Linked DNA regions of Xenopus tropicalis. The protein of the gene in region 3 interacts with the protein of the main gene of each other region in a pairwise test. Links are inferred from orthologs where the notes say so. Each region holds a gene or a part of one and is shown on either strand. Other genes may lie near its edges.

Evidence for each region.
Region 1: the proteins of exosc8 (region 3) and txndc17 interact in binary tests that used the Homo sapiens proteins (3 or more experiments, as listed by UniProt). The two-hybrid records come from large-scale screens. The link is inferred for Xenopus tropicalis from reciprocal best matches to the Homo sapiens genes EXOSC8 and TXNDC17.
Region 2: the proteins of exosc8 (region 3) and slain1 interact in binary tests that used the Homo sapiens proteins (3 or more experiments, as listed by UniProt). The link is inferred for Xenopus tropicalis from reciprocal best matches to the Homo sapiens genes EXOSC8 and SLAIN1.

The regions. Positions count from the first base shown.
Region 1 is NC_030678.2:48,982,221-48,985,974, forward strand, and holds the start of txndc17 (thioredoxin domain-containing protein 17), read right to left. Parts: upstream 2,728-3,754; 5' UTR 2,568-2,727; coding exon 2,423-2,567; intron 1-2,422. UniProt on the Homo sapiens protein: Disulfide reductase. May participate in various redox reactions through the reversible oxidation of its active center dithiol to a disulfide and catalyze dithiol-disulfide exchange reactions. Modulates TNF-alpha signaling and NF-kappa-B activation.
Region 2 is NC_030678.2:125,991,499-125,995,252, reverse strand, and holds the start of slain1 (SLAIN motif-containing protein 1), read left to right. Parts: upstream 1-1,323; 5' UTR 1,324-1,475; coding exon 1,476-1,966; intron 1,967-3,754. UniProt on the Homo sapiens protein: Microtubule plus-end tracking protein that might be involved in the regulation of cytoplasmic microtubule dynamics, microtubule organization and microtubule elongation.
Region 3 is NC_030678.2:151,682,827-151,686,580, forward strand, and holds the start of exosc8 (exosome complex component RRP43), read right to left. Parts: upstream 2,338-3,754; 5' UTR 2,282-2,337; coding exon 2,265-2,281; intron 746-2,264; coding exon 709-745; intron 417-708; coding exon 353-416; intron 1-352. Other genes in the region: alg5 (dolichyl-phosphate beta-glucosyltransferase precursor), read left to right, coding at 2,908-2,973. UniProt on the Homo sapiens protein: Non-catalytic component of the RNA exosome complex which has 3'->5' exoribonuclease activity and participates in a multitude of cellular RNA processing and degradation events.

The DNA.
Region 1 (3,754 bases), about 100 Mb from region 3:
CAAAAGGGGCAGGGCTTCCGGGCACGGGCCTATAAATAGAAAAGCCGGAGAAGAGCCGCCGGCAGTGTAAGGCTGCGGGCAGGGAGGGCGAGTGGAAGTGCTCAGCCCACAGGTGATGTGCCAAGGTCGGCCCAAACCTGCCCGACCCGTGGGTTAACCCGCAGGTCCCATGGGTATCGGGCTGGCCCACACATCACTACTACCTACACTTGCACAAGCAGAATACCAATAACAAAGTCTTCTTTATTTTGCTGCTTGGCACTCTCTCTCTCTCTCCAGGATGGCTGTGCATTCTACAGTGGAACACATGGCCACCTTGAATTTTTTTTTCTTTTTTTCTGAAAAGCAGGGATTGCAGCGGTGGGTAAAGAGGGCAGATGTACTGGCATGCGGGTAGGGCACAGTGGCCCCCCAACAGATGCCCCATTTGCCCATTTAGTAAGGCAGCCCTGACCTTTGAACTGCACTGCTGTGTTAAGTCACTGCATTATGCGATTCTCTGGACCAAGCAATTGTCAATATGTTACATACTGTATATCTGTTTGTTTGTTTTTTTATCCCTGTTGTTTGTTTACATAATTGCAAATAAAAATTGAATTTCTGGAAACAAAATCTCACCTGTCATGTTTATCTTAAGGATAAGGTACACTAAATGATAATGAAATAAGATTTATATGAGACTTTATGGTAACATTCATCATTAAAGATCCCTCTGACCAAGGATGTGCTGTTGGAGGGCACTGGGAGATTTAATTAACCAACAGCAGGAGATAAAGCAGAATGCACAAGTATAAACAAAACAGACCCTTTAACTGGTAAGAGGCTCAGAAAGTACATAGGGTCCAGTGTGGCACTGACTAATAAGTACTATAAATATATGTTTATACAAAAGCCTTATTCCCAAAATTTAGGAGAGCCCAGTAACTGATAAAAAGAGGCATAGTGCACAATCCCATAATTGTGCACTATGCTTATCCAAAATACACACATGTATAACACATGGTACAGTTGCTACCTTTCAACTAATCTATATAAATGATTTGTCACTAAAGCCTAGGTTCATGCTCAGAGTGCTAACTAGTTTCACTGCAGTTCCAAGGCATGGACTGGAACAATATGAACTTTGGTCAATGCATTTTCTAATGCTGTAACATTATTTTTGGAGCAATTTCTTACAAATACATTCCCTACAAATAGATGGTACACTGACCTGTTCTGGCGCCACTCTGTACCTGTACCACACCAATCTGTGTGCCAAGTCTACTGTTAAACTACAATCTATGGCAAAACAGTTGGAGCTTCTTTAATTGTAATATATAATAATGAAAAGGCAGCAGTGGTTGGGGCTGGAGGAGGACAAGACAATGTGCAATTACTGAGACTTATTTACTAGATTTATGTTTACAAACATATATAAAATAAAAGCACAATGTGCCGTAATTTTATCAAAATTAGTGCTAGAACCCCTGTTAGAATATAAGTGACTTGTCATAGTCAAGTGGCAACAACAGCAAAAATGTACAACTATGGAAGGGCTCAGGGGTTCAGCCACTCCAAGGGGTATTCTTAGCTGCTTTTCAGTTTTTTTTTTTAATTTTAGTTTTGTAATTATTTGCCTTGCCTCTTTCCAGGTTGCAAAGGTCCCCATATTGCTTAGAAATCTCTGTCACCTTAGAAGTGGTGACCACAGAGTAGAACAATACGTGCGCTATGCAAATCTGAACAAATATCATTTGCAGTGCTGATTGTTACATAGCAGGTAACAAAAAAGCTCTGTAGCAGATAAGCTCTGTAAAATACAATGGTGTTTTACAGACCTTATCTATTATTTTACCTGTGTCATTTAGCCCAATTTCAGTTTGAATGGCTGCCCTCTGGCTACACAGCAGCTTTATTTATATAAACTATAGTAGTATTTCCAAAGTAAACACACAACTGCAAATGCAGGCCAAGAATCAGCCCCAATGTTGGTACCAGCTGTTGACGCGGCGGATATCAGCTGTGAAATTCAAACTCTTGCTCTTTTTTTGCTGATATCCCTTGGGTCTGTCTGCACCCAGGCACAGACAATGATTCCGGGTGCAGGCAAGGTAGTAAGCTAGTGCCAATATAGGGGCTGATTCTCAGCCTGCGTTTTCCCAATGGCAAATGTTTTACATTTTGCTATAACTGATTGAAACAGTACTTATTAAGACCGACATTAAACCCATATTGCAAACACAGATCAATTTTAATCCCTCATAAAGCTGCAGTGATGCCCACCAAAACTAAGTGGCAATCCCATAATGCCCCTCTCCCCCACACAAAAAGGAAAAGCACTGCTATGCCTAATGCTCAGTCTAGTCATGTGACACAGCAGAAGTAAATCACAAGAATCTCAGTTTAGCTCATGGCCGGAATATATCCCTCATGTCTCCCGTACCTTTCACACAGTCAGGGCACCAGCTCACCCCCTGCTCGTTCTTATTCCCCGAGAAATAAGCAAACACTTGCTTTCCCTTGTGTTTCTTTAGCGCCTCGCAGAACTCCTCATATCCCTGCACTTTCACCTCAGTGCAAGCAGCCATCACCGTGTATGTGCGGTACTGTGTATGTGCAATCCGACTCTCCCTGCACAACCAGCAAATCCACGTGAACTTGGATCCACTTCCTGTTTGACTTCATAAAGGGCCAGTTCCAACAGGCAACCCAAAGCTTTCGGAATATTGAAGGAACGGGTTTTTAAATATAATGTGTCTAACAGGTACCCGTAACCGAGTGATGAGTAGCTAAGTGACAACGGGTCGAAAAGCGTGCCTGCCTGAGACCATGGCATTATGGTAGTTGTGGAATGTGGGCACATTTACTAACAAAAATACTGTTATCAATACAATAATAATACAAAAAAGTTAGTAGTTTAATAAAAATCTGTTACACGATACACTTTTAGTTATGGCCAGAATCAAAGATGGCTACCTTAGGTTTCCAGTGCCCAGCCCCTTGCTATTCTTATTCCCGCCTCAGTGGTGACATTCCCCGCTGCTCAGTTCTGAGATCTATTTTTTTTGGTCCTTCTCGCAATCAGTACATCGCTTATTGTGCTTTGCACAGCTGTTGTCATGGCGGTGTTTTGAAATTGTACCTGCAGAACGGTATGGAATGCGCGTTACACCGTGTAACACATCGGGGCGCCGGGATCGCAGGTGATTGAAGGCATTTTCATTCTCTGTGAAGCTAATAGACTTGCTAAATAGACAGAGAAAGGTTTTATTTTAGTTTTTATAAGGTCACCCACAGTGAACTTGCCCTGCTGTAATACTACTTTTAAATTCCTTTGGTCGCAGCGACCTGTTAAATAAGCTTCTCTAATAGACTTGCGATTGTTTTATCAGTCTATACCAAATACTTGCCGAGTATACATTGCAAGTCTTTTTGTCATGCCAAGGTTAAGTGTAAGGGTTAATATTTAACCCCTATCAGTTAAGATACATTGCTGTATCAGTAATTCAGGTTTAGGGCTCGCGAGTCTTTTTCGGCGATTTACGCAAAATCGCGACGCCGCGTCTGCCATCCCGCAGGCGACTTACATGTTCGCCGGTGGGATGGCAGGGGTAGGCAACTTGGGGAGATTAGTCGCCCGCGAACAGGGAGTTTTGCCGCGGGCGACTAATCTCCCCGTGTGCCAGAGCCCTTAGGGCAGTGGCACACAGAGAGATTAGTCGCCCCGCAACAAATTTTTGTTTTTCCCCACAATGCCAACCCACCGGCAACAACG
Region 2 (3,754 bases), about 26 Mb from region 3:
AGCAGGTCTGGCTATTATCCATTTTACAAGGTCCATAGAGACAACAACCATTGCTGTGTAGAGTACCTAAGCTGAACACTATAAACTTTACAGGGGATGAGAGGTCATGAGAACTTTTAGCCTATTCAATGGCTACATTTCATTTGCAGATGCAAATATTTTTGTGCTATATATATATAGAGAGAGAGAGAGAGAGAGAGACTGAGTACCATACAGTACATGCTGGGACTTAATATACAGAAAAAAAGTTTTTATTTCTGAAATAATACTCTGTCTCTATATTTTGTTTATTTTGACCAGCACCAGATCTCCGTTTTTAGGGTTGTGCTCCTCTCTGCACCAATATATACATATATAAACACACTACTTCTGCATTACAACTACTTTGGCTTTGGTTTTTGCTTTTTATATGTAAAAAATTATGCAGTTTTTGCAAAAACATGTAGATTTAGGTTAAGAATGTCTGTCCCCTATACACAATATTTTTTCCAAACAATATAATGAATTGGTAGTCTGAGTGAATAAGGATACCTGTGTCCTGGCAAGTCACCTGCTGCACAGGCTATATGTACATTCTGGATTTGAATACTTAAACCTACATGGTCTTAGTCTTACTGGTTACAGCCTTCCTTATTTAATATAACAGATTGATTGGTTTCTAATCTGATGTACAATCTGTGCAAATCCCTGAAAAATAATAATTATTAAGTGGACATGTGTCACTCTTGACTTCTAACATACATTAAAATCAAAATATGTATGTAAGAAGTGGTGCATTTCTTGATATTTTTCTGCCTGGACCTGTAAACCTTAAGTCATGTCCTTGTAAATGAATTTCACCCTTCCCCACCCCCTCACTTCTGTATTCTCCTCCTGTATTTTTTCTGTATTTTTGCTGTGTGTTTAACATTCAATTATCTTTATCTCCTTTAATCAATTAACTACATCTGCTTGTTTTCTGTAGATCAGCACAGCAACTTGTACATGGCTGTAATATGAACATATCACTCCCCTTCGCTAGCCAGTAGCCACAGTTTAAAAAAGACAAAAAAAATTTTTGTGATCATTTGATAACATTTATTGGCTAATAAAAATGCAAGCTTTTCACATTAAAATAAAATGACAGCTCTTCATTAAGCATAATAGATTCAGGATAGGAGCAGCTTGTGCAATGCATGGAGACTGGCTTCTCTTTGTTCCCAATGTGTCTCTTCCTCCCTCGCTTTGCATTTGTGGGAGGGAGCCTGGTGCACACATTAATATTCCCACTGCTGACAGGAGGCACATTCAGTGAGATCTGAGCAAGATGCAGCCCCTGTCCCTGCTGTATGGGAGCTATCAGAGATCCTGACTGCAGGTACCTGGATTTATCAGCCAGGGCAGCATCCTGGAACATTACCCCCTAGGTGGAATTACAAATTAAGGCCGCTGGGGATTTGAGACACTGGCTATAGAACGCTGCAGCAGTGTGAGCCATGGCAGAGGTAAAGTGCAGCAGCAGCACTGGGTCTCCCACTACTAATGGGCTGGTGGCGAATGCAGAGCTGGAGGTGAAGAAGCTGCAAGAGCTGGTGAGGAAGCTGGAGAAGCAGAATGAGCAGCTGAGGAACCGAGCCAGTGCAGTGAGCAACTGTACGCCAAGCCCACACCTGCTGCTGCAGCATCCTCCTTCTGTGGTGCATCAGTCAGGGACATGCATCCTCTCTTCCCCTGTGCTCACACGGCCCGCAGGGCTCTGCCTTCCCAGTCCCGTGCCCACCTTGCTGTGCACTTCAGCAGTGGCCGGCAGCCTGTTTTCCCCAGAATCCATGGGCTGTTTTAGTACCAACAAAAGGCTGCATTTGTCCTGCATCAATGCTGCAGAGGGGCCCCAAAATGACTGCCCAGTTCCAGGATCTACCCTACTGGATGAGGTGCAGGTTCTGGATTTGGAAGACGGGTATTGCAGTGGCGATGAGGATACCTGGTAATGATATACTGGGGGTTTGGAAGGCTCTGAAGTTGAGAACAAATGATAAGCTTTGTATACATTGCATTCACTACATTTAAATTTGTACCTTTAAACAGCTCTATACTTGGTTATGGGTGTGCTGATTTACATTCAGATTAGTTAGCAGTCGTTGGACTGGGTGGGGAACTGTTTTGTATGGTACTACTGGGTATGGGAAGAAAGATTAAAAGTATATGAAGGCATGCAGGAGCATTCACTCCAATAGGAAAACTACATATTTGCCAAAGAGGTTTTAGCTTGTTATTCCTCAGTGATTGGGAATAGTAATACAATCTGCTTTAGGCAATAGGATTTGCTTTTATCTCAGCCTAAATCTTACAGAGCTGCCATCATTTATTTATTAACTGCTTCAGCACTTGAGATTGAGTTTATATTCAACTCTCACTTGCCAAATGCCTTTGTGATTTTTTAATTAATGGTGAGGATCTTGGCATCAGGTAATATTTTAGGGCAGGTTAAATTGAAGGACAGAGGGCTGTTTTAGTTTGCACCATGCCATCTCTGCATTTCAATACTCTGTAGGATCAGAAGAGAAATGCTTGCTTTTCTTTGCAATTGTTTTAATCCTTTTGTAATAAGTGATATATACAGTATCTATAAGTAACAAATAATCTTTTGGAAAATACTGATATTAAGTTTATTGGCAAAGTGTGTGTGGAGTGTGTGGTAAAGTAGTCTCATGATAGCTAAATATATCCCTCACCTGATTTATACAGAGCATCATCAAAGCACATGCTCAAGCGGGAACCTGGAAGACAGAAGCCCTCACCACAAAGGCCAATCTGTAACATCTTTATATAGATCACACATTTTTTCATGTAATGAAAAGCACAGACTTGTATCTTCTGTACAGCTGAGTGAATGAAACTGTATTTCAACTTGGAACCACAAGCACATCTAGGGGAAAGCTCACCCAGGGGGTGGGGTCAGTACAAGTGTATTATTACCCACCTGTTGAGCTTAGAATTGCTTAGGTAGCAAAACAATTTCCTGCAATAGCCCTAAGTGTTCTTCAGTCTAATTTGTCAAAAATGAACAAATTTGCATCAAATTCAACTATTTAATTGACATAGTAACATAGTAAGTTGGGTTGAAAAAAGACATACGTCCATCAAGTTCAACCATAATGCCCTATATACTGTATAACCTGCCTAACTACTAGTTTATCCAGAGGAAGGCAAAAAACCCATCTGAAGCCTCTCTAATTTGCCGCAGAGGGGAAACAATTCCTTCCTGACTCCAAGATGGCAATCGGACCAATCCCTGGATCAACTAGTACTAAGAGCTATCTCCCATAACCCTGTATTCCCTCACTTGCTAAGAATCCATCCAGCCCCTTCTTTAAGTTATGTAATGTATCAGCCAGCACAACTGATTCGGGGAGGGAATTCCAGAACTTCACAGCTCTCACTGTAAAAAATCCTTTCCGAATATTTAAATGGAACCTCCCTTCTTCTAAACGGAGTGGGTGCCCTCGTGTCCGTTGGAAGGACCTACTGGTAAATAAAACATTAGAAAGGTTATTATATGATCCCCTTATATATTTATACATAGTTATCATGTCACCTCTTAAGCGCCTCTTCTCCAGTGTAAACAGACCCAACTTGGCCAGTCTTTCTTCATAACTGAAACTTTCCATACCCTTTACCAGCTTAGTTGCCCTTCTCTGGACCCTCTCTAACTCAATAATGTCCCGTTTGAGCACTGGAGACCAAAACTGAACAGCATATTCTAGATGGGGCC
Region 3 (3,754 bases):
TAATTAACACAGTATTAAAAAAAACTCTTGATAAAATTGGCCTATCATTAATTAATGGTGACCCCTACAAATTTGAGAGCAATTTCATAATTATCATGGTGGGTAAACCTGCTTTCAAGTAAGGCCTTCAAATGAGCAAATGTTTTCAGCCAATCAGCTGGTGGGAAAGATTGGTTCATCCAATGGTTTGGCCAAGGTCTGTTTTCAGCAGTTTTACTGGAGGCCATGGTAAGGTGGGTAGATTTAATTAAGAGCACAATGAGACATTGGTGATGACAGATCCATGAACAATGCACGTTATTATAGCCAGCCTGAAAATAAAGATTGTTTTTTTAACATAAATTCTACTTACCAACATTTATGGTCGTTGTCCTAAACTCAGTGAGTTCTCGACCGTCCGGCCGACAAGCCTCCTTCTGTAAAACCAACACAATAAAGCAATGCTCTAAAGATGCCAATATATGTGCCAATGGGACACTCCGGCAGCACCAGGATCCCTGCTGTGAGGCATTTACTGTTCCAAGTCAATGGGAGGTGAAAGTGGATGCTGAATATGCAAGTTAATTATGGAGGAATCATTGCTTGGCTCTGAATGTACATTGGACAGGGATCTATTATTCTAAACCCAGAGCTGATTTCTGAGTCCAGTATAGGCACTGTATGGCTGGTAGTGCCCCAGTAGGCCTGTGTTAGTGTGCATATACCTACCAGGAATTTTCTGTAATACTCTAAAGGTTCCACCGTCCTGTGAGGGAGAAGAAGGGAGAAAAATAAGATATTTTAGGCAATTTTTTTCCACACAAGTCAATTTGTGTTTCTCTAACCCAGGGATCCCCAACCTTTCTTATTTGTGAGCCACAGTCAAATGTAAAAAGACTTGGAGAGCAACACAAGCATCATAAAAGTTCATGGAGGAGCCAAATAAGGGCTGTGATTGGCTATTAGGTGCCTCTATGCACACTATCAGCTTACAGGGGGCTTTATTTGGTAGTAAATCTTGTTTTTATTCAACCAAAACTTGCCCCCAAGTCAGGAATTCAAAAATAACTACCTGGTTTGGGGGCACTGAGAGCAACATCCAAGGGGTTGGTGAGCAACATGTTGCCCCCGAGCCACTGGTTGTGGATCACTGCTCTAACCCTATGTTTGCCTGCTGCCTAAAATACAAGTTAGACCTAACACGTAAGTTGCTCAATAAATACACGGACACCCAGTTCACTGTACCATAAACTGTCTCCTGGAAACCATAGGGTCCAAGCACAGAGACACATGTAAAGTTATGTAATAAAATTATCAAAACATGCACCCAGTTACGTAAACCACAGAAACCCATAAACAGTACGCATTTACACCTGTTTGAAAGTCAACGCCTGATTGGCAGTTGTAGGGTACTAGACCCCTTGCAGCCGCTGCACTGATGCACAGTGTGTATGGACCAGACAGCCCAGAGGTGTTCAGTTAATATAAACTGTTTAATTAGTACAGAGTCCAACAGGAGGCCCACGGGGTTCATGTAGCCCCTCCCATGACCCTGGCAACCAGAGAACATACAACTTTTCAAGACGAAGAGAGAGTCGTAGAAGGACAAATCATTCAGATGCAACCCAATTAATTTACTGGGGAGAAACAGCTCCCCGAGGATAAAAACATCTCATTATACTTAAGTTTAATTTTAAGGAGAACTTTCCCTTTAAAATAAGACAAAACTTTGTTTTGGACACATCAGGCTGCAACATACAACAAAACTGCTGCTTTAGGGCGTAGCACATAGGGCTTCCAGTGACAGAACAAGGCTGCAGTTGATATTCTGGGAGTTGCAGTCCGACAACACCTTTATGGCTAATGGCTGCCCACCGCTGCCTAATGCCACCAACAGCATCTCTGTAAAACGCTGATACTTATGGGATCATCATTAGCCTCTCCCATTACATTCCCACATAATGAGCCCCTGGGAATACATCACCCAACTCAAGGTGGAGAATACTCATAGCCTTAAAGGAACCATAGATCTGCACTACAACTCATGGGACTGATTTACAAAAATAGGTAAAGTACATTAGTGCAATAGGCTCCTAGCAGCCAATCACATTGTTGCTTTCAAGGCTAATTGCTGACTGGTTGCTATTGGTAACTGCACATGTGCTACATTTGCCCTGCATATAACTGGCACCCACTCCCTAAGCCCAGGAGATTCCTTATCTGCCGCTGCCCCGGTCCCTGCCCGTTTATCCTGGTAACTAGCCTGATACGTAGGAGCCACTCACTTGAAACCAGCCGCCATGTTGCAGGCCTCAGCGCGGAGCCCCTGTAACCTCCTTGTACCCAACTTCAACAACCGGCTCCCTGTCTGCCAATGGGCAGCCCCGGCTCAGCCACACGTGTTGCCTATAAACACCGGGCTACTATACTTCCTATGTAGCGCCAGGCAAGCCCCTATGCCTACCTGCCCCCTGCCGGCACAATGCCAGAACTACACTGTTAGGCAGCTCACTAGCGCACATGGAAGTAGCTCAACCTTATTTCATTTAGCGCCTTTTAAATACGCATTGAATTCATAGATATTCCTTAATGTGCGCTGCAATGCAGCTGCTGTCCTCCCATACCGAGCCGAAGGGCGTCAAACTACAATTTCTTAGGAAAAAGCTACTGTTCGCGCAGTACAGTCTATTCACCAGGCGATGGCGCTGTGCGGAGGCGGCTCAGCTGCGGAGCTTCCCTTCGCTTCTCTCGCTCGCAATAAGTTCCTGTCTAGTAACATAGAAACACTTCCGCATAGGTGTAGCAGTGCCATAGGTTCCGGCAGATGCAGTCAGTGGACTTACCGCAGACCGGAAAGGGCTCAGCCGTGGCTTTGGGCTACGACTCTTCTCCCCAGAGCGCTGTGCCAGGGATGCTGCTGCCGCCGCCATGCATTGCTGTCTGTGTGAGATCCTGCTGCTCCTGGCTGGCCTGGCAGCTCTTCTATTAACTCTTGTAAGTGCCTTCTGCTTCCTGCACTTCTATGTGCCTGGGAAATGGGGCTGCTCCTTCATCTGCTTCAGCTCTACTTTCCCCCCTAAAAGTCCCAGCCCCCCCGTCTGTTTTCAGCTTTATGCAAACTGGCCCATAGATCAACATGAACCCTACACTCAGGCCCTTCTGAGGGGTGACATTGTGCAACAGTTGTTAGATATTTCTGTATAAATATGGCTATACAACCTGTGGCCCTTCACTGTTGATGAGCTGGTAGTCAAAGGCTGTTAGGAGGAGACTGGAGGTTGTATTTTAAAGGGGTTCAAGTTACTTTTTAGTATGTTAAAGAATAGCCCATGTTAGCAACTTTTCAGTTGGTCTTCATTATTTATAGTTTTTGGATAATTCACCTTCTTCTTTTGACACTTTTAAGCTTGCAAATGGGGATCACTGACCGTCAGCAGCAAAAAACTATTACTCTGTGAGGCTACAATGTTTTGTTATTGTCATTTTGCTATTCAGGTGTTTGCCTGTTAACACCAGAAAAGAGTTTTAAAGTAATAAAAATATAATGCACTGTTGCCCTGCACTGGTAAAAGTTGTGTGTTTGCTACAGTAACACTACTATAGTTTATATAAATAAGCTGCTGTGTAGCCACGGGGGCAGCCATTCAAGCTGGAAAAAAGGAGAAAAGGCACAGGTTACATAGCAGATAACAGATAAGTTCTGTAGAATACAATAGTGTTTTATCTGTTATCTGCTATGTGCCTGTGCCTTTTCTCCTTTGAATGGCTGCCCCCA